2 linked regions of the Oreochromis niloticus genome follow. The protein of the gene in region 1 purifies or fractionates together with the protein of each later gene. This does not show direct contact. Links are inferred from orthologs where the notes say so. Each region holds a gene or a part of one and is shown in the gene's direction. Other genes may lie near its edges.

Region 1 (15,173 bases):
CTCACGGACAGGTCCGTGGCCTGGTGGTTGGGGACCGCTTATCTAGACAACCCAAAATGTGATGTCCCCATATGTGGACGCCAGGTCCTAGGAGGTTAAAACAAAAGAGCATCTACTCAAGTGTCCGATGTGTGTGTAAATCTGACAGTGTATCTTATTCCAAGTTTACAATAGGTTGATGGTTTTATGCCCACAGGAGACACTTTATTATGCTGTGCAAACACCTTCAAAAGCACCACACAGTGGATTACGTCCCTGTGGCATGTGTACGTGTTTCGATGTGTGTGTGCACTGTGTTGGTGTGTTAGTACACACATGTTAGCAGAGGCGTGTTGTAAGCAGACCTTGAACTAGAGGATGTGGGTTCACCTTTGCCTCCTTCCAAGTAAATGTTAAGTGGAAATCGAGAAATATTAGTCAGTGAACTAAACCGTCTGTGCCACTTGTAGAAGAGCAATAGAATAAAGAGATAAAATATTTCCTGTCTATAGGCCTGTGTACTTTGGACTGTGACAGGAAGCTTCTGACAGCAGCTGGCTCACAACATTGTGCCACCGCTCAGAAAGAGCAGCTCTGTGTAGGAAAGGCAGAAATGGGAGGCAGCAAAGGGGAATGTTTCCACTCTGTGCAGAACAATAGTTGGCTGCCGGAACAGCACTGGAAAGCCTCAGCCTTTTTTTTTCCCCTATTCTCCTTCCCTGTCCCGCTGCTACACAAACACACAGTTGTGCAGGAACATTTGGCCCATTCAGGTTACAGTAATGCACATGGAAATGCTTTCGGATCAGATGACCTCACAGTCACGCTGCGGCAGGCAGCCTGGATTTTTATATAAAACACACACTTGTCTTTGGACTGCAACTGTTAATCAGCACTGTTATTGTAAGAGTGAATTTGTTACAATAATAAGTCTGAATTCATACTCTGTTTGATACAAAAGCTTGACGTTCATTTATGTGTAAACAAATCAATTTCAGTTGTTTATCACTTTGTATTTTCCTTAAATATTTTACTACATTTGATTGTTTGATTTGTGTTTTGAAAGGTTTAATGAAAAAAATTAATTTGAACATAGAACTGTTTAGTTTTCAAAAACGTCACATAATTGAGAAACTGGTAAACTAAAAATAGAATGAAAATCATTTTAGTTTCAGCCCCATGTTTTCCAGAACCAGCCTCCGCACATCGGCACTCTCACATTTCTCCCTGTGACTCACCTGTGCACTAGTTTTTCTTGAGCTCTTTCCCCTGTCGCCCTCTCTGCTAGGTTGCACATTGAACAGACAGGAAGTTAGGCTGACTCTACACTATGAAAAAGGCTTCACTGTGACGAGGGAGCCAGCCGACCCGAGCGGGGGGGCCGTGCTGTACAGATACCCCTACGAGAAGCTTAAAATGTCTGCTGATGATGGAATACGCAACCTTTACCTTGACTTCGGAGGTCCAGAGGGAGAAATGGTAAATTATAGTAAAGCTACTTGTCAGTTTATGAATGCATTGTGAGTGGAAAATCTTTTTAAACCTAAGAATGTCAAAAATATTCCTAAATCTCAGCTTTATTAGAACTTTTGCGTCATGCTGAAACACAGTGTGTGTATGTATAAGAGATGGTCGTAGCTGCCATGATGTCTCCGGTTAGTTTCTGAAGTCTGCTCTGAATCCTCAACATTTCTGCTGTTTTGATTTAAACAAGCTGAATGTGACAAGGCGGGCGGGTCCAACCAACAACTTGTCTATCACAAGTGATTAGCTGATGTTTGACCAATATTTAAATAACTGAATTTAATAGTTGTTGGTTTTTTTTCTTTTAATAACCCAAAACACATGACTGAGTCCATAAAGTCCTCAGCAAAGTGTTCACAGAGGTCGGGACAGATTGCTGTTTTCCTGTAGATTTCAATAGGATTGAAAGTCTGTTTACAGCCCCTGCTATCGCCATCTGGTGGCCTTCGGGTAGAATGCAGCTTTAGGACTGGCTTCCAGAATCTCCATCAATGTTTTTTAACTGTCTGCGTGTTGAAACGCTAAACCAGCCAAAATCATGTTGAGTTTTTTCATTTAAGGGGGAAAAAAGAGAAAAGAATTTCAACAAGAAGGCAAACTGAAGCTAATGGTACATGCATAATTACAGTTCATTTATCATAAAGATGTAAAACCTCACTTACCTGTGCATTACAGACAGTAATTTACATTACAGTACATTAAACAACAGTCAAACTGACCGGAAGCTCACGTGCAGATGTTAGTTTTCCGTCTGCCGACTAGCCTGAGAGAGCTAGTATGCCTAAAGAACCTCCACCACTCAGCTGTTCCAGCTGTGCCACACAGTATGCAGTAGGGCGAGTGGATAGCGTGCCGTTAATTCTGTTTTTTAATTGTATTATGACGCCAGACTCTTTGAGATACTGTCACCGGTTACAAGAGCTGTAACATATTGTGATTACAATTATATTTATTTATTTATTGTGGACTATTTTCCTTAGATTAAGAAATTACATTTCCATCCACAGAAGGAAAGTCAAAGTGCAAATAAAGATCAGTAAAATCTAATAATATGAAATAAAATTAAGGTAAAATGCAACCTGTCAGAGATCTGTAGACCAGGAATACAGATATTTCTGTATTGTGTTATACAGTAAAATACTAAAATGTATGTTTTTAACTGGAAAACTGTTTCTATTCAGCCCATTTCATTAAAGCTGGAATATTCTCCACTTTCCATATAAGTGTTGAGGAACAAATAAAACAACAATCTACATTTGAATAAGGGAATATCTTGGATATCTTGTTGGATATGTTGAAGTTTTCTTTTGTTCCCCTTCATCCTCCTGTCCTTTCTCTAACTTCCTCCCTCCTTCCACCCTCCAGGTGTTTGATCTCCACTCGGGTCCAAAGCCGGTGGTGTTCGTCCTGCACTCCTTCCTGTCGGCCAAACTCACTCGCATGGGTCTTCTGACGTGAAGCCCGCCAAATGCTGGCAGCGTGGATGAGAGGATTCTTTTTTCTTTCTCGTTTTCATTTATTTTTAATATCTTGTTCGTTTTTCCAACTTGTCCGCTCACAGCTGAAGTCAGGCCTGACGTGGTGCTGCAGGGGGAACCTTAACCCAAGGAGGTGCTTTGTCTGATTGTCTCAAAAATGTGCCTTCTCTTCCAGCTTCTCCTCGGCCCCTTGTGGTCAGCTGCGTTGCGAGGCGAGGTACAAGGAAGGGGCACTTTGTTTTAAGTCACGAGGTGAAAGGAGACTGTTTTCACGCAAAACAAAAAGTATATATAGCAGTTAACAATCTCATAACATTCCACGTGATTGTGGGGGTTTTTTCTTTTTAAATATATTTCATTATAAATATCCGATGAGATGTTGATGCAGCCGATGTGCTTATGAGATTGCAGCACCTGTGCGCTCTAAGCAACGTGTTAGTGAAGTGCATCGAAGAAATGGAAGGCTTTTTTTTAACTGACCGAGCACAGATTGGTAAACGCTCCCAGTTTTTACTCTGCCTATCATTCCACGACAGCCTTCCGTTGTACTTTGGGCTCTTTTTAACGCGCGTGTGTTTGTCTTTGTGAGAGGGAGACGCTGCTTTAGAGTCGCGATGCAGTTACCCGAGCGGAGGTCGTGCACGTGAAAGAAGATCTCTGCGGATGAGTGCGTTTTTCCTCGCTGCACGCTGCCGTTGGCTTGATAGTGTGCCTCATACTTTTAGCACATTATCCCAAACTACTGTTGTAATCAGGATCGCCAACTGTGCCTTGTTACTTGTAGTCAGAGACACTCTTTATAGTGTTCCCCTTTTTTTAATTCACACAATAAGAGAATTTTACGCTTCGGACATGCACAAGCAATAGTATTACTCTTATAGTGTAAACAATGTTACTATTTTTTAGTGTGTATCTCCTGAAAGCATGACTTCCAGATGTTGGACTCTGTATTAGACGATGATATATGACATGACCGTGCGTTACCTCCCCCACCCACGACCCAGACACCTACACTACCACATCGTCTCATCTCATTCTGCTTCGCTTGTGATTACACCTCTCTGGTTGCCATGCCCACATCAGCATTTGTGTGGTCAAATACTTTTTAACAGGAGCGTCACATGACAGTGAGCTGACAGTGAATGTTAAAACTGCCTCACCTCCTAAAACACAAACAAAAAGCAGATTCAGGAAAGTTGTAATATCTTATTTCTGGGTGATTGAATGTTCAAAGATCAGTGGTCCTCTGGAGTACCATGAATGGCTGAGTTTACCCAACAAGTTCTACAGTGAAATTTTGCTCATTTTAAGCACCTAAAGTGAAAAATATTAAACCTCAACAGAAGTTTAAAAAAATCTCTCATATTTGGTGGACCTGTTGTGCTCGCTTCCAGCTCTTTATTTTTCCTTTAGCAGTCAGTTTAGAGTTACTACTACTCTGCCCTCTTATTTCAGCCAATCAGACGTTTTATCTCCTGTCTCTTTAAGGCTCTCCTCCCCATAAATCAAACTTTCTTCTTATAGGTCCAATCCTGGCAGCCTGACAAAGGGCAGCACCTAGAAGCCAGCTACATATGAAACCCCATGTAGCTTATTGAAAATCTTGTATGCAATCAGCTGGAATTACCTCATTTTTATAGTCACCTCAGTTTAGGAAATATTGAAAGTCTTGTAAACCTGTGATCCCAGTTTGAACCTAAAGCAGAGAGCAGTTTGAAGTCTCAGCCAAATTATGTGAAAATCTTTAATTTTATGCCTTGAAGTCAGATTATTATTAAACTAAAAGTACTGCACTCTGTTTGGTCAAGTTAATGAGCACAGAGGAAATGATGGGTCCAAGAATAGAAAGTGTCAATCCTTCCTCAGCTTCCTTGTTTGCTCGAAATAATCAGCCAGCTTAATGACTCATTCTGTAAAAAGCAGTTTCTTCATTTAGCAAATAATGTGATTTCTGCTGCCAAAGACCAACAAAGCCGACAAACGTCATTTTGATATTTCCAGTTTAACAGACTGACAGACTTCGTGTTAAGCAGCCAGGTGCACATGTGGTGACCACATTTAAATTTCATTTTCACTCACTCATGGGTTGAGTTCAAGAAACAAAAACAAAAAAACACAGGATGCAGGGTTAAGAAAAGAGTATATTGTAAACATGTAAAAGGCTCTATGTTCTAGTTTACAAGCGTGAATTAATAATAAGTTTGATATGCACCTAACAGAACCCTTCTGCTATAACCTGCTGCAGATGTTTGTCCTCCCCACTCTTTTTTTTCCAGATTAGATTTGATTGAGAGTTATGATTCTCAAACTTAAGCTACCCCCTCAGCAAGCTTTCAGAAATCAACCAATCAGAATAAAGTTAGCCTTTACTGAAAGCCTGGTGGTGTCTTTAAGGGCCTGTGGCTAAAATTACCCATTTAAAGCAGATCAAGGCTCATCTGAGGGTCTAGTAGATAAATTATCTTTTTTTTTTTTTAACTGTAAATCAAGCAGAACTACTCTTGTGGAGTCCCAGAATAAAAATATCGAGTTGGAAAAGAGCAGCAGGTGTTCCCTTTAACATCAACAATAGTGATTATAATGCAAAGTTAGCACAGGGAAATAGAATGCCAGCCATTCATTCTTGTTTACCCCTCCGATGTGCTAAAATTGTGATAATGTTGAGAAATGATGAGAGCTTGTAAGTCGTATTGGTCACTCGCAGCAGTGTTGGTGTTCATGTAGTCAGTGTGCTGACAGAGACAGTGTGATGCACGTGATATTTAACTGACTGAACCAGATTTTTTTTTTTTTTTTTTTATATTTCCCAATAGATGCAAGTTGACCATCCTTCCCCCTTCAGTTCATTTTGCCTGCGTTGGCTGGTTAATGAGTTCAACGTGACTGTAATAAACACATTTTAATCACTGTCAGCTTATTCATGGTACATGTAGCTAATGTTACCCTTCAGTAGAGCCTCTGTCTGAGGTCCAAAAGAACACAATGTGCCATTGTGCGCACTGACTGCAACATAGGAAAACAAGATAACCCCGGTTCTCTGATACGGAGCACAGTCACCCGCCTGAATGACCTCTGTCCCATTTGGGACATCGTGTCCTTGTGATGCTTTTTTTTTTTTTAATGAATGTGAAAATTCATCACAGTACACTCACTTCCTGTTTAGCGATTTAAGTCTTTTCAAGCTACAGTTAATGTTGGCTGTATTAAAGCAGAAGTAAGCTTTGCTTCCCTTAAAACGTCACAGTTTGAGCTACGCTCAGCCTGGCACGAAGTCAGTTTCTGCAACATTTGAAGCAGTAGTGAAAGGGATACACTTTTACACCACACTTTTGCTTTCTTGTCATTCTAACTGCTCTAACCTGATCTGATTATGTGAAGTTTAAGAAGCTACGAGGCCGTCCTGTTCCTCTCTGAGCTCGATGCACTAACCTGTCAAACCCCTTTTAAACCTGTGAATGTACACCTTTTATCTCCTTCCTCTCTTTGTTCTCAAATCGTGGCTGTTCTGTCTATGCAACGCTTCAAAGAAGGGGTTTTTGGAACCAAAGGTATTATCTGTGGCAGCTTGCGTCCAACACAATCATGAAACTGAAAAGTCGCGAGGATAAAGTGCTGCTGCGACAACCTGTCATATGCAAAGTATTTTAGGTTTCCTTCCAAGAGACGGTATACAATGTATGATAACAATGTAGTAATCTCAAATGTACATACCTACCAATAAAACTGTTTTAAGTTACAGAAACCCAGGTGTTGTTTTTCAGTGTTTTCAGTGGTTTTCTGTGTGATGTGTGGCCCACAGCTCAGTCAGATGAACCAGAGCATCTTTGTGTTTATGATAACGGAACCTTTTTAATACTAAATACGCTATAAACATTTTGTTTGTTTCCATTATAGTGAACTTTGACTAGACATCCAGATATTAGTGGCAGGTCAGTCTGAATGGCACTATTACATTGACTGGCTGGACTTTTGGACAGTTACTGATTACTTTTAGTACCTTTTTCAATAAAGGTCTTTTATCATTTATTTATTATTTATAATATGTTATTTATAATTTTTCAAAATTGCTGCTCAAAGAAGTACCCATAGGTCTTTCAACGTGTTTGTGGAGAAAAGGCATCAGGAAGATTTTTGGTTGGGTCATAATTTGGTGCATCTGTCAGGGATGACTGTGGATCACGTGGAAAATCAATTGGAAGGCCAGTGCATCAATTCCTGACTCCTCCAGGCTGCTTGCTGAAAAGCATCTTTGGGTAAGACACTGAAGCCCAAGTTGCCCCTGATGCATCCATCAGAGTGTGAGTGAACATTCAAAAATCCAACGAACAAAATCCAATTTTCTATTGCTGTGTACTGGGTTTATATAATGCAGTCACAATATATGTACAGATTAAAACGCACACACACACAAAAAAATAATTTAACTATACCATAATTTTTTTCTTGCATGGTTCAGTTGGGTACTCTACAACGTTGCCAAATACTTGATTTCACATGAGTGTAGTGTTTCTCCAGCTACTCCTGCCTTTAATGACAGGCTTGTGGCCGCTAGGTGGCAGTAGTTGCAGGCCATTGAACATCTGCGAAGGTCCCTGAAGTTTGTCAAGTTTGTTAGTTTAGCTACAAAACCGGAAGTTGTTTTCCAAGTTAAATGGTCTCTATAGTCTCAGAAAAATATTACATTTATATATAAATGTAATTCTGAGAATATAATATCCTTGGTGTATTATTAATAATTCATGTGGTGACTACATGTTTTCTGATTATTTTTTTTACGCCACGGCTCTTTGGAGGTCTTCGCCGGAAGCTGTCACGTATGAGCTCCCCTGTTGGTTGACGTCTTGTTGGGTCGAGCTGTCATCTTTGCTAGCCGCCGCATTAGCCACTGTTTTGTTTTGTCATGACAGGAGCGTGCAGCCCTCCTACAGAACAGGGCTGGTAAAGACATCACTTCTTCAGGTGTCCACCTTTGGGGAGGAACAGGGGACAGAAATCTGCGCGTGTCACATTAAAGTGAGATGAAATGACAACGTCAACATTACAGGTAGGTTGTTGTTAGCTGGCTAACGTTAGCCCGCTTCAATTTGGTCACAGAGCTAGCCTCTGATTTTTGTATAATTGGAGCAAAAAGCGGGGGTTTTTTTACAACTCTGAATACACTGGATTGCGTGCGGAACGATTTTCTGGAAGCTACGAAAACTCTTCGAGCCACTTGGTAGATAATTTATTTTTTTCCACTGAACGATTAAAGAAAGCTTCTGATTCAAAACACAGTTTCCAGCCTGTCGGCTACCTACATACAAAATAACGGTTAGCTCTTAAACCTAAGGTGGCTGGATGTAATGCAAGCTAAACTGCTAACAAAACAGCTGATGGTAAGATTGTCTCGGTTTGGTGTTACAATAACTATGTCGTCTAGATTACATATTATAGAAACAATAGGCTTTAGTGCGGGTACTGCTGGCTGTGCCTCGCCTGGAGGATGTTTCTAACGGTATCTGCTGTCACCGTTAGCCGGCCTGTGTGGCCCTGCTCGCTCAGTTAACAGGACAGAAAACAAAGCGTTGCTGTTTGGGGGGGACTATTTTAGTCTGACGACTGGCTTTAGAAGCAGCACAGTGAATATTTGTCTTAAGGAATAGCCTGTTCTTTGTTTTAATAATAATAACAAATTTTATTTGTTTATCACTTTTAAATAAATAGAGCTACAAAATGTTTCACAGTTTGAATAAAACCACACATTAAAGACCGGTGAATATGTTCCAGCACACAGACACAGAAACACATGGTCTTGCATTCATCGCAATATATACACGCAACTTTTATACATACATCAGATGTAAAACTATAGCCACAAATAATAGGAGAAAGATTGTTTTTCTTTTCTTTGCTTTTCGTTTCTTTTTTAAAGTAAATTGTATAAAGCTCTCAGTAATCCTATAAAACAAACCACAGGTTCAGCTGAACTGAATGACTGAGAAATGCTGTTCCAGAGTTTAGGAGGTGTATGCAAGAGCTTGGCCATGTAGGACTTTATGCTATTAATAAAATTTTGAATTTCACTGGAAGCCAGTGAAGAGATGCAAAAATAATTGGGAGACAGTTACAGTGTGTACTAAAGGTTCTGGATAATTGGGTGACAAAAAAGGTTTCATTTTTGCAATGTTTCTTTAATGAAAGAAGGCTGGGTGAGCTTTGAAATGTGAGATTCAAATATACTAGATAATAACAAATAATACTAAGGTTCTTAGCAGATGATTTGATATTATCAGCGAGCAGGCTTAGCGTAATGGCTGACTTCCTCAGTGAATCTGTCAGGGCCGAACACAAGAGCCTTGGTTTTGTCAGGACTGAGATGAAAGAAATCTTTTAAAGTTAATAATGGCAGTGAAGCATTCGCTCAGGTACCAAAGGCTGTTGAGCTTGAACTAACAGAAAGGTACAGCTGTGTATTGTGTGCATATCATTGATAGCAGGTGCATTTAAAGCTATTAAGCAGATGGCCCAGGTATAATATACGCAGTGAAAACAAAACTGGAGCCCTGGGGGAATCCACAGATGAAGACATACTTCAGAATTCATATTCAGACAAGTGAAACCATTTGAGAGCTGTTCCTGTGATTCCAACCCAGTTCTGTAATCTGCTGGCTGAAGCTTTGGTTTTGAGTGACATAAGGATGACATGTGTTTATTGCCTGTTTTTGACTCCATTGTTTAACGTTATATCTCTGCATCTGCTGCAGAAAGCCATTGATCTTGTCACTAAAGCCACAGAGGAGGACAAGGCGAAGAATTATGAGGAGGCTCTGCGTCTGTACCAGCATGCTGTGGAATATTTCCTACATGCCATCAAATGTAAGTATCTTATCTTGATGGGTAGCTGAGGTAGTTTGTGTTTTGCATACACCTTGCTAATGGGAACATCTTCTCTTACTCCAGATGAGGCCCACAGTGACAAGGCGAAGGAGAGTATACGAGCAAAATGTATGCAGTACCTGGACAGAGCAGAGAAACTGAAGGACTATCTGAAGAATAAAGACAAACAGGGCAAGAAGCCTGTCAAAGAAGCACAGAGCAATGACAAGTATGATGTCCTTTTTTCTTTTTTCTTTTTTTTGTATGTTTAAATGTAAAAAACATTTTGGGCTTTATTGGATTTTTATGTTCCGTGTTCTAGGAGTGACAGTGACAGTGAGGGTGAAAACCCTGAGAAGAAAAAACTGCAGGAGCAGCTTATGGGTGAGTGGCCTTGGGGGGGATTTAACCCCATCATGTGGAGCTCTGTAAAAAATATTTATTTATGATATTATTTCTTATAATTTTCTTTGGTTTTGTCATAATCATCCAGCCTTGTCTATTAATTGCATCCCAGTAGGTGTGTCATCATTACTGTTTTTTGTGTGTGTAGGTGCTATTGTAATGGAGAAACCCAATGTGAGGTGGAATGATGTTGCTGGGCTGGAAGGAGCTAAGGAAGCTTTGAAGGAAGCAGTCATCCTGCCCATCAAATTTCCTCACCTTTTCACAGGTACTGTAGGTCTCAAGTTTCTTCATTCTGTTTAAACCCAGTAAGCAGTCATACACTGATATCAACACTACTTTAAAGACAAACTTTTCTTCTGGGTCTTTTTGTTTCTCAGGCAAACGGACCCCATGGAGAGGCATCCTGCTCTTCGGTCCTCCGGGAACAGGGAAGTCATACCTGGCCAAGGCGGTGGCCACCGAGGCCAACAACTCCACCTTCTTCTCTGTCTCCTCCTCAGACCTCATGTCAAAGTGGCTGGGAGAGAGTGAGAAGTATGTTTTCAATGCATCATTTCAATTCAGTGTAATTTACATAGAGCCAATTCCCAACAAGTCTCATCTCAACGTGCTATAAATTATCAGGTAAAGGCCGTACAATATTGGAGAGGGAAAATGGATGAACTAGTTTTTCAGCATTACTCTGAGTCAGGAGTGTTTCTAATTTTTAGTATTGTACACTTGAAAGACGGCAGTCCTAGAGATTTGTTTAAGCGAGGTAAAAAGGAAATATCAGAAATGCTTCTAAAGTTCCTCACAGCCTTGGGGACGGCTGTTTTCTTATCCTAGCAGAATATCAATTAAACAGCTCCATAAATATGCAACTGTACCAGAGTAGAAACCTGAACTGAAACAGTTTCGTAAGTATCTTTTTAATAAACAGATTGATATGGGATTTAGCAAGTAGAAATAACTGAGATAACTGAGTATTTTGGAATTTTAATCTTTAAAGCTCTCATCTTAAATTGCATAAAGGTGATGAGCAATAATTACAACATTTGTTACTTCAAAGACTAAATAGATTTCTTAGTAATAAAAAACTAATGGTCTAATATGGCTATCCCTCAGACATATTTACTCCGTCTCTGCTCGTCTGTCTCAGGCTGGTGAAAAACCTGTTTGATCTAGCTCGCCAGCACAAACCTTCAATCATCTTCATCGACGAGGTGGACTCTCTGTGCGGCTCGAGGAACGAGAACGAAAGCGAGGCTGCCCGCCGCATCAAGACAGAGTTTCTGGTCCAGATGCAGGGTGAGTCACACGAGTGCTATCGGATATATGAAGTGTGAAGAATATGGAGTATTAAATAATATTGTTGAAATATGAAACTTGAGCCACAGCCATTTAAAAAACATGGCGTCTGCAGTGTCTCAAGTCAGATTGATGTTGTGAGCAAAGAGGGGCTTTTCTCAGCCTCACATCTGTGTCAGACTGAATGTGCGAATCTTGTTAACACTTTGTGGAACCTGGATCACATCACCATGATGGATTGAAATAAAGGACATTAAGACTACAGCAGCCTTTTCAGAGTTCATAGAACCATACAGAACCACAGAACTTCACTGTGCCTGCTCTGAACCACAAGAGGAACTTCTAAAAAACACAAATGTTTGGTGATTTTCTGGATGTAAGTGTATGTGGTGGCAGAACTGGTAACCATCATATGTGAAAAATCCTTTTAAACATCAGCTTTGTAAACAGCAGTAGAGAAATTATAAGAGAGAGACATGGCACTGAAAGAAGCATGAACTGTGGGGAAAATATAACCTCCAGGGGGGATAAAAACTTCTAAAATGTTATTGTGGATCTGCAGAGATTTGTCATATTTGACTGCTGATTCTATACATGCAGTTTTATGTCATGGTCGTCACTGAAATTAATTTAGACAGTGTTTTAAAATAAATGCCCAAAACATTTTAAGATGTGAGATTTACTCCTTTAAGGACTGTTTAGGGTGGCTAGCTAGAAAAAATGGAGAAAAGGTATCCAACCCTGTATTTTCAAATATTTGACAGTAAAAGTGCACATTCACTGTTTGTGTAAAGAGCTACAAAGAGCTGGTGGCATTATTGTGTGGCATCACTAGCTCATCATTGTTTATATTGTATAAACAAATTACACTGACCATTATTCCTGCTACAATCAGTGAAGAGAGTTTTCCAGAGTTTCAAAAGAAGTGCTTGTGTAGATTGACGCTCTGCTTTTGTAGGTGTCGGAAACAACAACGATGGCATTCTGGTGCTCGGAGCCACCAACATCCCCTGGGTGCTGGACGCCGCCATCCGCAGAAGGTCAGAGGTCGTCTCAATTAGATGTGTGTGTGTGTGTGTGTGTGTGTGTGTGTGTGTGTGTGTGTGTTTGTTTTGTTTTGTTAATATTCTGTGGGGCTTTTTATTCCATAAAAATTTACTTTCACTGTAGCTGCACTGTTATTATTCATCACAATGGTAATTCTGTCATGTTACATCTAATTCTTGTGTGTTAAGAAAACACAAACCTTTGAACCCGGGTAGATTCTGATGCTGTTAGTTTGAAACCAAATCGAGAAACCACAGGGCTTGAAGTGTTGTTGTTTTAGGATGAATCTGAAATCTAAATTACTATTAAATCCTCCTGCATTTGGGGAATATTTCAAAAAGTGATTTTCTAATCTGTTTGTCTAAACACATGTTAATGTTAAGATTCATACTGCTTTTTGACTGCTGACCATGATGTCACAGTCTGAAGTCGTTTTTTCTCCTCCTTTAAACTACTAAGCTGTTAACAAAACATTTGTGCGGACACACACCTGAGCTCCAGCTCTCATTTTGAATGCTGACCATGTAAAACATTGTCCAAACTTCTTGTGAGTTGTTCTCTATGACGTTTAGAATTTAATGTTGGCTCCAGATATTTTTGGACAGTGGCATGATTTTTGTCTTTTTACCTTTGTATCAATATATACTTGGGTTACTGCTAAATGCTTAAAGCTTCAAGTGCAAACATTGATTTCTAAGTTGAGGGGTTAACCCATCGCATTGCATTGACCACTGAAGTGTTGCATCTGTACTTTAACACTTTGACAAAGTTGGCTGGCATATCAATATTCAGGCTATTACTTTGGTCAGGAAATGATTTCAAGTGTGCTGTGGCTGTTAATACAGAAGTAGTCTGCAAAAAAAGAATATAGTATGGTTATTATTAAGATCGTGAGTGGATAACTATTTTGTACATACTGAGAAAAACACACATGGAAGCACATGGAAAGACCTGGAAAACCACAGACATGGGTGATGACAGGATCTTTTCTATAGTAAAGAAAAGCCCCTACAGAACATCCAGCAAAGAGTAGAGACCAACCTCCATGAGGTAATTATATAAAGTCTAAATGAAGAAAAGATTTCAGGAGACCTGCCCACAGGGAAAACAGGAAGGGCCAGAGCTTGCTCTTTAACAGAAACTGAATTTTCAAAATAAGAGCGCGTTACTTCGGCTGGATGGACAATTATGAAAAAAGTCTGTGCTTTGAAAACAGTGCACTGTGTGTGATCTGTTAGAAGACGTTGGCTGAGGCTCATCATGTTATGTTACCATGGGCACATTACAAACACAAGCTGCTGGGAGATAGTTCAACTTATTTAGATGGCCACAGAATCACAACTAAACAGGACTTGGAGAGACCAGCAGTACCCAACAACACGTTCATCAGCGGCTACACTTTGCCTCCATTTAAGCACAAAAGCTGAATTTCAATGTTAAAATGTGGAAAAAGAAAAGTTTCACTTGAAATAAGAAGGATGTGGCTTCAAGAAGGAGGTAGTTCCTTCTGTAATTGTTACTGAACAGAGTGAAAGATCGCTCTGATCGACAGGTCTCACCTCACTGAGCAGGGCAGGCAGTATAAAAATCATCCTGCCTCCTCTTGGGAAATGGAGTTAAAGAGTTCCCAGCAGCTATCAGCTTTCCTGTCACATGTGTACAGGCTTGCATTGTTGGTGAATAGTGCTGGGAATGCAAAAAGAAGACAGCTCCTGTAAGAAGTGGCACTGAAATCCACAGCTGATTAATAACATCTTAAACTTGTAATTCACTCAGTGTCTTGTGGAAGCATAATCTTAAATGTGTACCCAGTTAGAAGCATATGTAATACAAAGTGTATTATAGAATTATTAAACAAATCAGAGATGCGGCTCTTGGACTCCACTAAATGAGCTTTGTAGGATTCAGAGCTCAATATACTCCCCTTGGAGCTGCCCCTGTCTCTATAAGGCTACCCACATTTTAAGCCAACTTTGGTTATTATTCATCTGACTGGCTGCTATTTGCATGCCTGAGACCTTATTAGGGATATCCATTCTTGATCATATCATATCGAGCCAAGCATATAAAAAATGTCTAAAACTAATTCTATTAGAGCAGCCTGAAGTCTGAGCTACATAGACTGAGCTGATTATTTAAAACTTTGGTCGTGTTTAATATAAGCATCAACCAGTGGAGCGGGATTTATGGCAGAAATAAGGAAAAGCGGTCGATCTACAGCCAGTGAACCCAGTATCCAGCTCCTGCTTCACTTCCATCCATCCATCCATCCTCATCCGCTTTATCCGAGGTCGGGTCGCGGGGGCAGCAGCCTAAGCAGAGAAGCCCAGACCTCCCTCTCCCCAGCCACCTCCTCCAGCTCATCCGGGGGAACACCAAGGCGTTCCCAGGCCAGCCGAGAGATATAATCTCTCCAGCGCGTCCTGGGTCTGCCCCGGGGCCTCCTCCCGGTGGGACATGCCCGGAACACCTCACCCAGGAGGCGCCCAGGGGGCATCCTTGTCAGATGCCCGAACCACCTCAACTGGCTCCTTTCGATGTGGAGGAGCAGCGGCTCTACTCTGAGCCCCTCCCGGATGGCCGAACTTCTCA
Region 2 (15,841 bases), on another chromosome or scaffold:
GCCTCCTCCCACTGCCTCACTGGGCTGCAAAAGAACTGATAGCAGCATGTGCCTGCGCCCGTGTGCCGGTTTCCAGTGACTGTAAGGAGAGGAGAGCTCTTCAACACCTCATCACCTGGGATACCTTTCATCCCCCACCCTCTCCTCTCCTCTCCCCTCCCCACCCACCATCTCTCTGCCTCTCTGTCTCCTTTGCACGTAATGTGGGTGACACGAGAACACGAGGGTGCTGCCTTCACCCGGTGCACTGATGTTCACTCAAATGTATTATCCATGAAATGACATGGTGCGGGAGATGACAGATGGCAGAGGAGGGGTTGCTGTATGTACCGATGCTTGTAAAAAGGGGTGTGGGACTATCCCTGTAGAGGGGCTTCGATCCTCATCCTTACACTGTCTTTCGAGTCTATCGTGACCCAAAAAACCCCCCAAAATCATTGCGAGTGAGGACACTGAAACTAAAGTTACAGCCACACTCCTGCATCTGATCCGGCATCCTCATTATTTGAGCGAAACATTTCCCCTCTCCTTTTACCACAATCATTTCCTGAATAATTTATACAGAAGCTAAGACCAGGCACGAAGAAGGAAAATGTATTAGGGTCAAGTCATGCAGAAACTGCCTGCAAGAGTGAGCCACATTTAGGGCATATGTGTAATACATGGCATTTTGATATGAAAGGCACTACGACAGGCTTAAATAATGGTACCCCCCTCCCCCTCCCCCCACACACACATCAAATAAAGTGAGGTGAAAAACGACTCCACTAAACCAATCTGCATAACAGTGACAGATTTTCCTGTTAGGGGTATGGCAGACACAACCCCTCCCTCTCTTTCACTCTTACTAGTCAGCATCATTGTCACAGATATTAACTGGTGTGGTGGTCTTCTTATAGTCATGATTTCCTTTGAGTTCATGAAACGGTAAAAGATAGATTAAAATGCACAAATATGGTGATCACAAAAACTACTCCATTTTTTACCAGGGCTATCTGAGCTGAGGTTGCTTATTTATCCTTATCTCTGCTTGCCCAGTATGAAGGAAAGCTGCGCAGGTCAAAAGGTCAATAAATGAAACATGTCTTCCTGTTTCCGCGAGAATGCACAGAACCACACAATTTTGCTTCGGTGGTTTAGCGCAGACATAAAAAGAAAGCTACTGCTGCACTGTTAGGTAGATATCATTTTTCTACTTGAAGATGAAATTTATTTAATTATCACTTTCTTTTTGTATATATGTATGTATGGAGTATTTTAAGAGTGTGTATTGTATTGCAATAAAAGGAGAGACTAGGAGATGTTATAAATTATTTTTACATGTCATCTTCACTAAGCGGTCCTCTAAACCCGGCGCTCCTCTCGGATAAATAGTGTAAAAGTAGCTTGTGATGTAAAACAGATTTTACAATGACAATACTGGTCTTAAACCACAGTGTCATTAAAGTGAAAGCCCCAAAGCTGCATAAGTAAGACCACTTTAACTCCTTGCATTTCAATTCATTCTATTGTTTAGCATGAATATGTAGGAATTACACAGCAGGCTACCGGGGCTCAGAGTATTAAGCTAAAGCAAATGTAATTTTTCATTTAGAAAAAGAAATCCACTGACATTTTCAGATGACCTAGAAATCCATTTTTAAATCTGTATGATTAAGACAAGCACTGCAGAAATCTAGAGAAAGCCTGTGGCATTAACCTGCCAGCTAATGAGCAGTTAGGTAACCAAACAAATGTGCAAGGTAATGTAAGTCAAAGTTCTGACTTACTAAGTGGAAACAGTGAGATAAGTCAAACATGATCAGAGAAAACCCTAAAAAAATACCACTAACTCATGATTATAAGATAATAAGCTGTCATTTTCATGGGTGTAATTACATGTAATTACATAACATTAAGCCAAATTTGAGATATATAAGTATATATCAAGTAGTGGCCTCGGGAGAACTGATAGGATCGAAGCGAAAGTGGTAAAAATACTGATTCATCGGTTAGTATATTAACACGCTGGGGTTGCTGTCTGAATTACATAACCATGAGTCAAAATTACAGAACGAAATCATTGTAGATCTAAATCAGGAAATAATCTTCATAGTTTAAGTCATGAGCTATAGTTTCCTTTTCTGAAAGCGTATGAAATTCCACAACCAGAATGATTGGAGGGGGGAAAAGGGGCTGATGATTTTGCTGCTGCACGTTTACAAGCTGCTCTGTATCCGTGCAAGCCTGATGGAAGTTCACCTCAGTCCTTCTCACCGGGCAAAACCTCTACTAGTGACTTAAAGTGAGTCTAGGTCTTGGACAGAAAGCTTTCTGCTAACTGGTGCATGCAAACACAAACCATAGGCTACAAATAGGTAAAGACTACACGGCACTCGAGTGTTCTTGTCCGTCGCAGTAAGAGGACAAAAGCTTTTCTTCTCCGAGGGCCCGTCTACAGAGCATTACGGTAGATGGCCTCCTCGTACCAGCTCTCCAGTGCAGTGCGGAGAGCTATGGATTTTCTGTCAGGAGTCGCTGGCTGGGACGAGCTTTTAATAAGTCATGCCAACCGGCGAGCCATAGAGGATGCATTATGGTGCAGTTATGCTGTTATTATGATGGGAGCGCATCATGTTGCCCATCACTTATCACTGAATTTCAGCTGCTCCCAGCGCTAAGCCACAATTTAAAGTAGACAGTATGGGAACTCACCACTAGAGAGGATCTTGGCCGGCAGTGTCATATTTCCACTGTGAAGTGTGCTCCTCCAGTGATCCACTTGCATGTAAAACTAACACCGCTTTGAGCCACGGTTCATCAGGACAGTGGCTTCCTGGGGATAACCACAGCCTGATCTGCTCACAGCTGCAAGTGGTTGATTTCACTTGCTAATGAGCCAGCCACCTATCTTGCAGCCATTCATCAAAGTCTGCCCAGCAAGTTGACTGTGTAAAGTGGACCCTGTCATCACAATAGATTAAAAGTTTAAGTGTACTTTCAATGCTTTTTGGGATTCTGGGTAAATACTTCCTGAATTACACATTAGACATTTAAATGCATTTTTATCTGATGCCCCCACCAGCATCAGATTACAGTCAGCACTAAACTGCTCTGGTGTCCTGTTAGTAATTAAGCAAACACCATTACCTGGAGTGCAATCTATGCTTCCCCTTGCAAGCCCCCTGCTGACAGTGCATTACTACAACCCCCTTTGGTTTCTAAAAGAGAAATTAACAACCACCAGTAATTGGTTTGGTTATTGTATCAAGTTTATTGGACATCAATGTTACATGGCCTGAAAGGCGCATGTACTCAAGTGTGCGCATGAAGCCCAGCTGAAGTGTCTCACTGAAACCCATTTTTGACTGTGTTGGATTAGAGTAGAAAAATCTGCTCAAGAAATACTGAGCAAGAAAAAAACAAAAACAGAATACATACAAAAAAACTGCTTAAGAACAATGGATGCAAGCAGGAGTGAAAAAGGAACACATTTGAGTAGTCGCTTGGTAGCTAAGGCATGCACATCAGTTCAGTATCAACATGTATTTACATCTATGTTTTTTCTCACGCTAGTAGCATTTTTACTAGATTACATTACAGTGTACAGGGGTTCCCATTATTTGGTCCAACCACTGTATTTGCACGAATCCAATACACCTTTTAGTGTGTCTTCAGCTCCCAGGGTATCCCCCCAAAAAGCTTTTTTGTTTGTTTATAAAGCCTTCTGAGTAACTGGAAATCTATGACAATATTTACATCTGGATGATGAACAGTCACTACATGATCTAGTCAAAAATGGTAAAAACTCAGAAAAGGAACTAAATCCCATTTGGAAGCATCAGTTTGCAGCACCAGCTGCAGCTTCATCCTTCTGCCCTTCCTCTGATTCTTGTGCCGTCTTTTTGAAGAACCGTTCAGCTCGCAGCTCCTCAAAGCAGAACTCAGCAGCACCATTTAGCAGCAGCTCTTTACAGTACATGCTCTGCTCCTGTTGTTTTCCCGATTCTGCCTCCTTCTGCTGCTGCTGATGGTCCTGCAGCCTTTTGAGAGGAGTCTCCTCTCTGCCCGGCTTACGCGCTGACAAAACTGTGTTAACTGCTGGGTTGATCTTACATGGAGTCCTGAGGGAGGGACAGAACAATGCACTTACATTCGGGTTAGGAAGACACTAATCAACATGTGACATGAATATAATATTTAGCAGGTAAAACAATGACATAAAACGGCAGATAAAAACTGGATCTTTTTCTGATAAATGCTACTAAAAATGTGAAGAATGCTAGAAATACTTTTTAGAGGGAACTCAATACTAAACAGTTTCCCTTAACTGAAAGTATTTATGTTTGTCTATTCATGTTTGTAGGTGCCTCCAGAAAACTGCACCTAGACTGAACAAGCGAATGATATGACAACTCAGATGAGAGAGGAAGACTTTTTCTATTTGTTTATTTGGGCTTTTCAATTAAATGTGTGTATACATCCACAGATCTTGGTACTCAGGCATTTCTGTCTGTTGTCTCTTCGTCTGTTCTTTTTTTCCCGGTCAAAATAATGATTTAAATTAAAAGTGAATGAATAAATAAATAAAGGTATTTGTAGTAACTCACATTGTAGGAGGCTGATCTGACTCCTCCACAAATGGTTGGAAAGTGAGTTTGGGAGGCGGCGGAGCCATAACAGTATGCCCAAATTTGGACTTCTGGGGCATCTATGACGACATAAAAAGAAAATTATGAATCAACTTTGCATAATGGCTTTCAACACACACGACAATGAGCCTGTTCTCCCATACCTTCACATCACACCATCGCTCGAGCTTCTGCTCGTTCTCCTTCGCCCTAGATGTGGGAGGAGCCACCCAAGCTTCCAATCTAGGCTCCGATGGGCCTGCGCTTTGAGCCTTATTCTCGTCAAAGATGACCAACCGACTGTTACTGCCAAGAACAGGGGCGCCTTGTGACTTCAGGCCACCGGGAATACCTGAGTACAAACCCATTATGTTTTTCCCAGTCTTAAAGCACTGTTATCATCGATGTAGTATTTTGAAACAGATTTTATTTGTATATTCATGTGCTTACTTCTGATCGCAGCCCCTGTTCTGTTGACGGGGGCGACAGCCTTTTTCTTCCCTCTGTGTTTCAGATCAGCTAGAGAAACTCTCTCGAGTTGCTTAGGCTCATCATCACTGTCTTCCTCCTCCACATTCATCATCACCTGCCGGGAAACGCGTGCCTGCAGTGCCCTGCGAATATAAATACAGAAAAATGTGATCACTGTAACAACATAACAGAGATATTCATTTATCAGAAACTATACTGGAAGACTCCATACTTGTGAAACTGTAGGAGTTTATCATGTGGCTCAGCACTCTTTCTGAACCCCTCTTGGTAGACCAAGTCTGCTTTGCGGAAGTTGCCCTGATCCTCATACTCCTCTGACCAAGCGATGTAGAGGGAAGCTTGTGTTACTCCAATTCCTTGTGCTTGCATGTATCTGTAAATTTCCAAAGGCTCTTGGCAGTTCTTCGCCTGGTGACATGTAATAAAACGTTATAAATGCAGCATTAGTTTGTCAAAGTAACAGAAATAGTCAGAGGTTATACTTTTGCACTCACAAATTTGATCCAGAGGTCAACATAGCGGGGGTCATTGTGATAATGTTTCTCCTCTGTAAATCTGGTCACGACTCGTTCCAGCAGTGTGGTAAGGTTGCTCTCCTTTCCTCCCTGGGGGAAGGTTTGTTCTGTCCACTTAATATACCTGGAAAAATAAAACCGTGTTAGGATTACAGGGAAATTTAAGAGCAATGCTTATGAGCACACTTGGCTATTGACATATTTCCCTTACCGATCCCAAACACTAAGTGGATCATCGCCCTCGTATGTGCGCAACTCAGACTCAAATGCCCTGCAGAAATAAATATCCACAAGGTCTTTTTTCATCATATGAAAAATGCATGGAGAAATTGTACAACAATTTAAGTTTAAAATAGCCATCCATACTGTCTCTGTTGGTTGATTGCAGAGGTGGGTCCATCTTGTTGTTGACTCAGCGCCTGATGTAAGGCCGATATGGCTCTACCCCGCCTCAAAGGCTGGATGTTTTCTTTGCTGAGCTCCCATTCCACATCTCCTCCTTCTGCCATTTCTGAAACAGAAACTAGATACATACAGCAGGAGAATTAATTATTTGATATTTATCCCCTGCTGAATTTGTAATTAAGAATTAACCAGAACCCCAGAAAAAAAAAAACTGCAAAGTTTTAAATGGATTTGTTATTTGTTATTGAGTTAAATAAGTACTTGATCCCCTACAAACAGCCAGAAGTCTGGCTCCCACTGATTGGCTTTGTGCCCATGTGGCACACAAATTACAATCAATCAATTACAGATACCCTGATCTCAACTCGTTATGTGTATAAAGCACACGTGCCCACAGAATCAGTCCTGGATCAAAGCCATTATTTCGCCCTCTGTATACACACATTTAATTCAGTTGCTTGGGCTTTTTAAGTCGTCCTATTTTTTTCATTTCTAATCTGTAATCTAACTTTAATAAGAAATCATCTTATGGGCAAATCAATAGAACAATAAAAATTAAACTTAACCCTTTAATGCCTAGTGTATCATATTTGACACAAGAATTTTTGAGACTACTACATCATCAGTGTGTTCAGATTTTCTGAGGTGGCCTTCAGAGTTTTATCTATGCTTTAAAAATCTACCACAATGCTGTTGTTTCTCTTTTTTCCCCAAGTCTGCCTGGATAAGCCTTGACTCAGATCGTAACTTGAGGGAGGCGTTGGGTGTGCCACTAAATCATCCTTTTTATAACTCAAAAATATTGCTAGAATGCAACCTTTTATCTTGGTGACTCTGACAAACCAGTTTTATATACATAGCAGGCAGGACTACTCTAAGGCTCTGCTATCTGATCTACCTAAGATCTCCTTGAGTTGATTCAGATATCTGCTGCCAGACTTACTACGACCAAAAGGAGAGGACACATCACACTTGTTGCAAAGTCCCAACACTGGGTGCCTGTCAGTTTCTGTATTGACTTTAAAATCCTTTTATTTAAATCCTCTAGCTGTTGCAAAGTGCAAGACAAAAACCTCTGGGGAGGCAGCTTTTTCAGTGTTATGCCTCAAGCTGCTGGAACAGTCTGCCAGAGGACCTGGATGTGTTGAAATCTTTAAACTTAACAGCCCCCTCCAAAGCCTAGGTGTGACTGAATATTCTTTACACACAGCCCTTGTTTTAATTTCATATAACTTCTTTGCTTTAAGTAATATGTAGTTTCATTCAGTTTTTATTTAGCCTTAAAATTATTTAATTTTTCACTGGTCAAGTCTGTTACTTGTTATTTCGTTTGATGCACTTTTGTTGTAGTTGTATTTAATTTTAAATAACTTTTTTGATGATATACACAAAGTTTATTATTACCTCTGTATAGCTAAAAGTAATAAAAGTATATATTACAGTTACTGTCATTATAATTGTTTATTACTTAGTCCTTTTGTGTGCGAACTAAATGGCATGGTGACCAAGAGGCATACTGAACAAGTTTTAGGACAACATGAGCTAACGATGCACTTCGACAACAATACATTTTTTAATAATGATGTGGTAAACTGCCATCGTATTACAAACCGTGTGACAGAGACACAAAATGATGTTTAATGCAGCTATCAACACTCTCCCTGCGTTCCTGCTAACGTTAGGAAGTGCATGCGTTTGGAGCTAACACACTAGCTAGCTAACGATAGCTTTAGCCTGACCAACTTTAGCAATGTTTCCATCGACGACAAATTTTCCTAGCTGAATTAAAATAGACTTTCTACAAAACGTGCGTGTTCTATACCGCTTCCGAGCCTCCTTTATTTCTTTTCTAGGTGACAGCTGGAACTCCAACGTTGTCGCAGTAAACCTGTTGAACGGTTGTGTCTGTGTTTTGAACAAGGACCGCCAGAGGTTTTGCAGTATTCTGATTGGACGATTCGGAAAACCGGAAGATGCGTATGCATTACGTCACACCTCAGCTTCCGCGTTGCTTCCTGTTTTGAATGAACACCTGAAAATAGTTGCTAGTAGCTAGCTGCCAGATTAATGCTCACGACTGAGTGTGTTTTCTTAGGCATTTTAACCCACTGTAGCTGTATCGATAGCATTAACATTCCCCTACCCATGAGCCTCTGCACGTGTCGGTATGGACAGTCGATGTTATTGTTGTGCGTCCAAGTTTAGCCTCTTCAAGAAGGAGGTGAGTATTTCACGGCTAATGCTAACCACATAGACATACATAGGGGTACATTTTGAATAAAGTGATCTGTTTACTGTTCGTCATAGCTGGGCTGTAAGAACTGCGGCCGCTCCTTCTGCTCCAGCTGCTTGACTTTCAGTGCTGTGGTGCCTCGCTGTGGCAACACCCAGCAGAAGGTCTGCAAACAGTGCCATGGTAATCTGACCAGGTAACGCTCAAACCCTGCAAGGAGGAAAAAAAAAACTAAAAGTAGTTTTGTTTTGGCTTTGGAGCTTCTCTCTTATTTAAAATTCTTTCTTTTTAGTGGGCAATCTTCAACCAGTGCTGGCAGATGGTCTCCTCCAGAAAACTATAAAAAGTCAGTGTATATGATCAAATAAGGGAATGACTTAAACTTTGGCAGCACAGCAGTTTCATAATATCTAAAGTACACGTGTCTTCCATTAGACGGGTCGCTGCACTTGAGGCCAAACAGCAAGGACAGCCGACACAGCCTGTGAGGACTAGCAAAGCAGGACATCCACTAACCAGCGGCCTGAGCAAAGAAGATCAGGCGATTGCTGAAAGGCTTCAAAAGCTCAAGGAGGACACAGCACCTAGTAATAAGATTTTTAACAGCTCTCATTTTTATTTAATCTAGCAAGTGCAGTATTATTATAATATTTTCCAAAATAAGGTAAGGAGTAAGCTTTTTGCCTTTTCTTCAGAGTCTGTCCCCTCTGACAAAGAGCTCAAGTCCCGACTTGCTGCTCTGAAAGCTCCCAGCAAGCCAGTACCTTCTGCAGAAGAGATGGAGGACCGTCTGGCCACTCTGCGGGGCCTCCCTCCACCATCTCAAGCTCCTCGACCTGTGAGCTGAATCTCTTCCTGCTTGTTTGTAACATCTTAGGCCTTACAGTACAGCTCAATAGCTTCAAATATTTATTTAGAGGGAACTCAATACTAAACAGTTTCTCTTAACTCCAAGTATATATGCTTGTCTATTCATGTCTGTAGGTGCATCAGCCTCCAGAAAACCGGACCCAGACTGAACAAGCCAATGATTTGATAAGTCAGATGACAGAGGAAGTTGCAATTGACAACCAGCAATCAAATCCTGAATGCAGTAAGATATTGCATTTCTCCCTGATTTCACCTGCCTTAAACCAATAAGTAATGAGTCAGTCATATCATTCATTCTTATATCGTAAAATTAATAAACCGGTACTGAACAACACTGTTATTAAATCTGAAGGTGTAGATGGCCGTATGAATGATCTCAATAAAGGTGAGGCAGGTACACTGGATGAGAATTTGGAAGAGAACCAGGATGCAGCCAAGCAGCTGGAGGCTGAGAAAGCCCATCTGCTCGAGGAAGCTATGGAGGAGCTGAGGAAAGAGCGTCACTCTCAGGATCAGATCCTCCACATGGCAAAGAGGCTGGCAGAGCTGAAGGGGCAGGACCCGGACAAAGGTGAGTTATTCGAGCACCATTCACCTCACCTTATCTGTTATCCACTGTTTTACACTAGTGTGTCATAAAATACGATAAGGACGTGCGTTGTAAATGCAGTTTCCATGACAGAAGTGCTAGTATGCTAGTGTATCATGCCCCATTTTCATTGTGATTCATTTATAGTTACTATGGAGGACTTCCAGCAACCTGACAGTGAAGAGGAGACTGAAGAAGAAGCTGTTATGAGAGTGTTAAAACAGGTGTGGCAAAAATAACCATCAGATGATAATGAACTATAAATAATTTGTTCCTGCATACATCTTACACCCCTAAAGGCATGAGTGAACTAATTCAGACCAGTGTGCCTAGCCACAAGGGGCTGCTATTTTGCCAATTTAATCACTTCTTATTTTTTCTTGTATTCTTTCAGCTCTCAGAAGAAACTGTACTAGATGAGGCCAGTGGCTACAACATACCTTTAGAACAGAGTGGCCCAAGGAATAGGGAAAAGAAAAAATCGTCCAAGAAACCGGTACAAAACCACACTTGAATTTTTTATTTTTTTAAAGCTACGTGAGTGCATAAAATTTAAATCCAGATCTGATTTTATTGTAAAGGCTCCACCTCCGGCACCTAAGAACAGGAACCTACCTGCTGCTGATGCACATCAGCAATCAGACAGTGATGAAGAAGAGCTTCCATGGTGCTGCATCTGTAACCAAGATGCCAGCCTTCGATGTCACACCTGTGATGGAGATCTGTACTGTAACCGCTGCTTCAGGTAGTATGAAATGCATTAATTATAGAAAGAAAGAAAAAAGCCTAGCTTTAGACTCATGGTTGACTTTTGCATGGAAGCCTTGACTGCACACAAAAAAACAAGATCTCTGTGATTTGGAATGCATACCATGACCCAGATAAATTGCAGGCAAGCTGCTGCCCTACTGTTAAGCAGCATGAATATAAAGTATTTAGTCTGATGAATTATCAATCCATGCTTCATTATGTCCCCAGGGAAGGCCATGATAAATATGACAGGAAGGAGCATCGCACCACTAACTACACTGCGCCAAAGAAGAAGAGGAAGACATGATAGTGAAGCTATGCTGCAGGTGATTGTTAGAGTTAGGCCAGCCATCACACTTAGACTTGTTCTTTAGCCTTAAGTGACTTACTATTGTTAGAAAACAGTCTCTCTAATCATCTAAAACAAGCCACAAACCATCAGAACTCATTAACATATTTTATTCAGTAAATGCTAAGGCTGAACTAATTGAATGGCGCATAATAAGAAACTACTGGTAATATTTCTTGCAAAGCACCGGCTAGATAAGGACCATAAACACAATGTAAATGCAATATAATATGTATAATATCTTAAATATAGTTTATTTTTTGTGGAATGTGTAAAAATAGACGTATGTAACATTTGCAGAGGCTGCTAGACAGTGAAAGTATTGCAGCAAACCTGCACGGCCGCTTCACATAGGAATCCCAAAAATGAATATGGTTGATCTGAATAAGAAGTATCGGGTTTATTTTTATTTTGACTTGTCCTACTTCCTAATGACAACAAAGGCTTATTTAAAGTGCTCTTTTGCACTTGTCATCATATGATGATTTCCAAATTTTTATAACCCGTACAGAAAGCAGACACATCGTGAGCTCATCTGGGATGTTGTACAATCCCAGACTGCTGTCAGCTCCGCACCGAGGAAGCACAGAGGAGTCAGTATAAAAGGATTACTAAGGGCTTTGTTTTCTTTTGGCAGTCACTGCAGTCGCTCTTGTAATCTATGTTTGGCTGTGTGTGTAATTTGATTATAAATAAAGGATAAGTGTTAGCAACTATGTCAAGTCGTTGAGAGCATGCAGCATACCTTAGCTTTATTTTTAACATTAAAGCCTTTTTTTCCTTTTAGATCCAACATATTATTACTAGATAAAAAATATCTCAGTCTGGCAGGCCTTGTAGGGAGTGCAATTCTTATAGTATACATGCCTTCTTTGTCAGAGAAGTCGAGGAGAACCATATACATTTCTATAGTGGAGACCTCACCCGAAAGACCCTCTGTGTTTGACAGAGAGAAGGCCAGAGTGCAGGCTCATCAGCGTGCATTACTGTCTGGCTGAGGAGAAACCATAATTACACTCTTCTCTTGGGGCTTGCTCCATTAAGGTTCATGTGGAAAGTGTTACTGTGCCTTTTCTGGCCGTGTCATACACGTACCCCAGACAGGAAATGGACGAGGATAATGGATGCATACTTAATGGAACATCTTGTTGCTGATCTCACTGTGTTTACACCTACTCTTGACATGTCAAAGTTTCCTTTGTTTCTGCCAATCTGTTGAAAATGCCTGAAAACACTACCTTATGTTTTGGGAATAAAATGCTGACTGCTGTTCTGTAGGAAAGTTGTCTATAGACAGTAGGGCAAAATCATTATCTGTGTTTCTGAGCAGTTGTGAGCTCAGGGTAGTTTAACTGGTACTGTAAACCAATTAGTGTAATGTACACGCCAATATTTATTTGAATGAGTGGAAATGATAATACCTGATGAAGGATATTGGTGTATCACTTTGTTAAAAATCAGATGTGAGCATTGTCTTGAAAATGTTGAAATGTTTTTATTTTTAATTTTTTTTATTTTGACAACACTGTTATCTGAACAAAAATATTTATGTACATAAATAAGCAACTAAAAATGTACAGTCTTACACAAAAACAGTCCGTCTGAGTAATAGTCAGTACAGCTTTTATCACGTGTACGTTATTGGTATGGTATTGGGAAACGTTGAAGCAGTCCATAAATGAATTTGAAATAACAACATTAATAAAAAAAATAATAAATTCAATTCAAAACCCCACAGCTCTGGTGTTACATTGATGATGACCCAGCAGGAGGAGGAAGAGGAGGCAGGGGACAGGAATATAGTCCCTCTGATCCACACCTACAGGCATCCAAATGGTTAATGTGTGGGGCGACGAAGATGAGCGGCTCCACATTGTCTCGATTCTTAATTTGACCTACAATTATTTCTTCAGTGGACCTGACATTTTACGTAGACCCTTTATCCTGTAGAGCAGCCCGTTGATAAAATCCTATGGAGAAGATGGGGAAATTTAATTTTTTTGTTTTAATTTTTTACTTTTTGTTAATAAGTAGACATAATATTTCAGTGTTCTTTTCTAAGTTTTTGTCTCACCTCTTTTGGCTTCCCGCATTCGTGCAACAACTCCTAATGAACAAACAGAAAGAGGCTTACACGTTTTCCATTTCTTTTTCTCTGCATACATTGCACAGCAGGATTTCATTATGAGTCAGTTTCTTCTTAAGGACAACCAAATACAAATATGTATATTATTGCTGTCAGCGTTAATCTCGTTAAAATGACTTTAGGAGGGCTGCACGGCGTCAACGCGTCAGCGCGGTTAGATCTAACGCGTTAGCGCCGTGCAGCCCCTCGCGCGGGCCGATCCGCGTCAACTCGCTAACAGAGATTTGCGGCGTTTATGCGGTTATGGCGTTAACGTCATTTTAACGAGATTAACGCTGACAGCACTAATGTATATATATGTAATTTAGGGGAACTAGTTGCAGAACCACTCAGCAATAATAAATACCTGACAAGTCATTAACAAGCAATTGGAATATCTCATCAGATCTCTATTTAGGTTATTCTACAGAAACCTACCTCCAGCCGGGTTCTTTGCCCCTCATCCGACAGCTCCAGGAGCTCGTCTATGTCGATTTCTAACTCTGGGATCTCTTCTTCCTGTGAGAGTGGAGAGGAATAAAAGTTAAAGACCATATTCACTGATACTTGTGTTTCTGCATGCCTCACAAACTCCTGCAAATTGGATTGTATAATGTGGGCTTCTTGGCTTTTTATCCCTCCTCATCTTTCCAGCCAACTAAATGTAGTCATTCAGACAGAAGACTAACGCATTACTTTTTCAGTTCAATTCCATTTTATGTATATAGTGCCAAAACAGAACAAAAGTCGCATCAAGGCACTTTAGAGAGAAAATCAGTCAGATAGTTCCACCCGATGAGCAAGCACTTGGCGACAGTGGGAAAGAAAAACTCCCTTTTTACAGGAAGAAACCTCTGGCAGAACCAGGCTCAGGGATGGACAGCCATCTGACGACTGGTTGGGGGTGAGGGGAGGAACATGGGACAAATTTATTAGTTAGTTATCTTGGTGTGGGTTTACTGTAGAGGATAAAAACATTTTATATAAAACAAAATAAAAAATTGATTGACTTGATGGGAAAAGTTCAGTGGGCTGATGCATGAAGACAGAAAGGCTGTATGAGGCCAGGCTTGCAAAACGCCATCCTCATATTTTATGGATGGTTTAGCAAGCTGTCATTTCCAGCTCCGCCACTTTTTTACATATTAATCTCTGATGCACGTCACATGTTTTGAATTCTGCACACCTGGAAAAGAAAAAACAACACAAACCCACGAGCGCTCCCAACTGCAATGTAACGACCTATAGATGGCATCATTTTTAAAGATTAACGGCAATTATATATGAAGACTGTAAAACATAGCACTCTCCACTCTCAAGGCCAAATATAGCAAAGCAATCACTTTATGTAACGAGCTCTGAACACCTTTCAGGGAGAATGAGGAGTGCTCACTGGAGGAACTCGAAGATATCTGGAGTCAGCAGGTGCATGCTCATATTTGACGAGTGTGGCCTCTTTTTTTTTTATTAGGAGGAATATTTTCTGGTTTGGGAGCTTTCATGACATGAAAGGACGGGGCTCACACAGCTTTCTAGATGTGGAGAGAGAGCTAATCAATGCGGAAGTGCTGAGTGGCGGAATAGATGGGCCCCTGTGCCCGCCTCTAATTGATACACACTGCCAGTTTGGACCCTGTGTAATTCTGCTGATGTCTGCAGGATAAATGCAGGGCTGAAGGTTTTTTTTATTATTATTATATCTAAGCTGTGCATTTATGGACTTTGCTTTACCAACTATACTGCGGTTGGCTTTTTTGTACTTGACCTGGTTCAAAAGTGCTGATAGTGTAATCCTGAAAAACTTCAACGAAACACCTTAATGACTAAAAGAAAAAAGGCGGTGAATACTTTTGTATTTATTATTGTACTTATATTTATCAAAATTGATTTGCACTTTGTGGAACTGTGTTCAGTATGCCATCCAAACACTGCTAAGACATGACTGAAGAGGTTTAATTTTCACCGTTTGGAGCCGTTCAGTGGCTCTACTATAATTGTATAAGAATAGAAACGTGTATAAGTATACTTCAAGTCCAGTGAAAAGGAAACCTGGAGCTCTTATGTACTTATACTGCTCTTAAACTTCCTCAGTCTGCCTCTGAAAGCGAGGCAATGCAGAGCACTGCTGAATATCAATGAGCGACGGCTTCCCCAAGCTGGGAGGAACACATGAGTTTATCACGAAGACTCACGATCTCGTCCTCATTCTAACTTCCCAGTATTTCTCGCCGAGATTTACCTTCATTGTGAGGGAAAGGGCATTTTAATGAGGCCTCTGGGTGGAAACCGTCTCAGCAGCACTTTTTGAAGTTAAAAAGCAATATACTGAAGCTAAAACGAATGTTGGCACTAATGCTGGAATTCATGAATATCAAAGTGGCTCTCAGAGGACTGAAGCTTCAGACGGTGGTAGTGCAAATATGTAGCAAAGATAAGACGACTTCCACCAGAATTTTACAATTTTTAAATTTCACCATTATCGGAAGTTGACCTAAAGCTCTCTCCGCAAGCAGTGCTGAGCTGCAGTGATGGGAAACTGTCCATATATAGAACAGTAGCTACTATGTAAAGAGTGTCTGCCATTAGTTTTGCCTTAGGATGTGATATTTTTCACTGCTTAAATCAAGAGAGTGTGTCTGAGCCAATAAAATTGTTGTGTAATGTGTTGACATTTGATATCCCAAGAGAATAATGACTTTGGTGACCTTTGACCCGTTAACTGAGCAATCAATATCACTCCTTGACATTTATTAAGTACCAGACAGGAAATTCAAGTCTGATTTTTTATTCAGCTTCAATATGGATATTTACTGATATTAATAAGAGCATTACCAGTTTTGCATAGCTCTAATAATCAGCTGGTGAATAATAAGCAAACTAAACTTTGCTTATTGCTGTGAACA

The links.
Region 2: the proteins of vps4a (region 1) and zfyve19 purify together in Homo sapiens (affinity purification with mass spectrometry; 3 studies listed by BioGRID and IntAct, counting the BioPlex papers as one, with this or other methods). This does not show direct contact. The link is inferred for Oreochromis niloticus from reciprocal best matches to the Homo sapiens genes VPS4A and ZFYVE19.

The regions. Positions count from the first base shown.
Region 1 is NC_031972.2:5,172,401-5,187,573, forward strand, and holds the start of vps4a (vacuolar protein sorting-associated protein 4A), read left to right. Parts: upstream 1-7,787; 5' UTR 7,788-8,004; coding exon 8,005-8,025; intron 8,026-9,724; coding exon 9,725-9,836; intron 9,837-9,920; coding exon 9,921-10,065; intron 10,066-10,158; coding exon 10,159-10,220; intron 10,221-10,389; coding exon 10,390-10,509; intron 10,510-10,621; coding exon 10,622-10,778; intron 10,779-11,385; coding exon 11,386-11,534; intron 11,535-12,492; coding exon 12,493-12,574; intron 12,575-15,173. UniProt on the Homo sapiens protein: Involved in late steps of the endosomal multivesicular bodies (MVB) pathway. Recognizes membrane-associated ESCRT-III assemblies and catalyzes their disassembly, possibly in combination with membrane fission.
Region 2 is NC_031983.2:8,746,943-8,762,783, forward strand, and holds zfyve19 (abscission/NoCut checkpoint regulator), read left to right. Parts: upstream 1-8,008; 5' UTR 8,009-8,189; coding exon 8,190-8,243; intron 8,244-8,329; coding exon 8,330-8,451; intron 8,452-8,547; coding exon 8,548-8,601; intron 8,602-8,690; coding exon 8,691-8,842; intron 8,843-8,950; coding exon 8,951-9,093; intron 9,094-9,239; coding exon 9,240-9,348; intron 9,349-9,477; coding exon 9,478-9,696; intron 9,697-9,861; coding exon 9,862-9,938; intron 9,939-10,108; coding exon 10,109-10,210; intron 10,211-10,295; coding exon 10,296-10,459; intron 10,460-10,692; coding exon 10,693-10,771; 3' UTR 10,772-10,790; exon of another isoform or gene 10,791-11,324; 3' UTR 11,325-12,295; downstream 12,296-15,841. Other genes in the region: bub1bb (mitotic checkpoint serine/threonine-protein kinase BUB1 beta), read right to left, coding at 3,821-4,103, 4,590-4,690, 4,775-4,962, 5,061-5,224, 5,314-5,510, 5,597-5,741, 5,829-5,888, 5,984-6,126; ppp1r14d (protein phosphatase 1 regulatory subunit 14B), read right to left, coding at 12,715-12,783, 12,888-12,920, 13,377-13,457. UniProt on the Homo sapiens protein: Key regulator of abscission step in cytokinesis: part of the cytokinesis checkpoint, a process required to delay abscission to prevent both premature resolution of intercellular chromosome bridges and accumulation of DNA damage.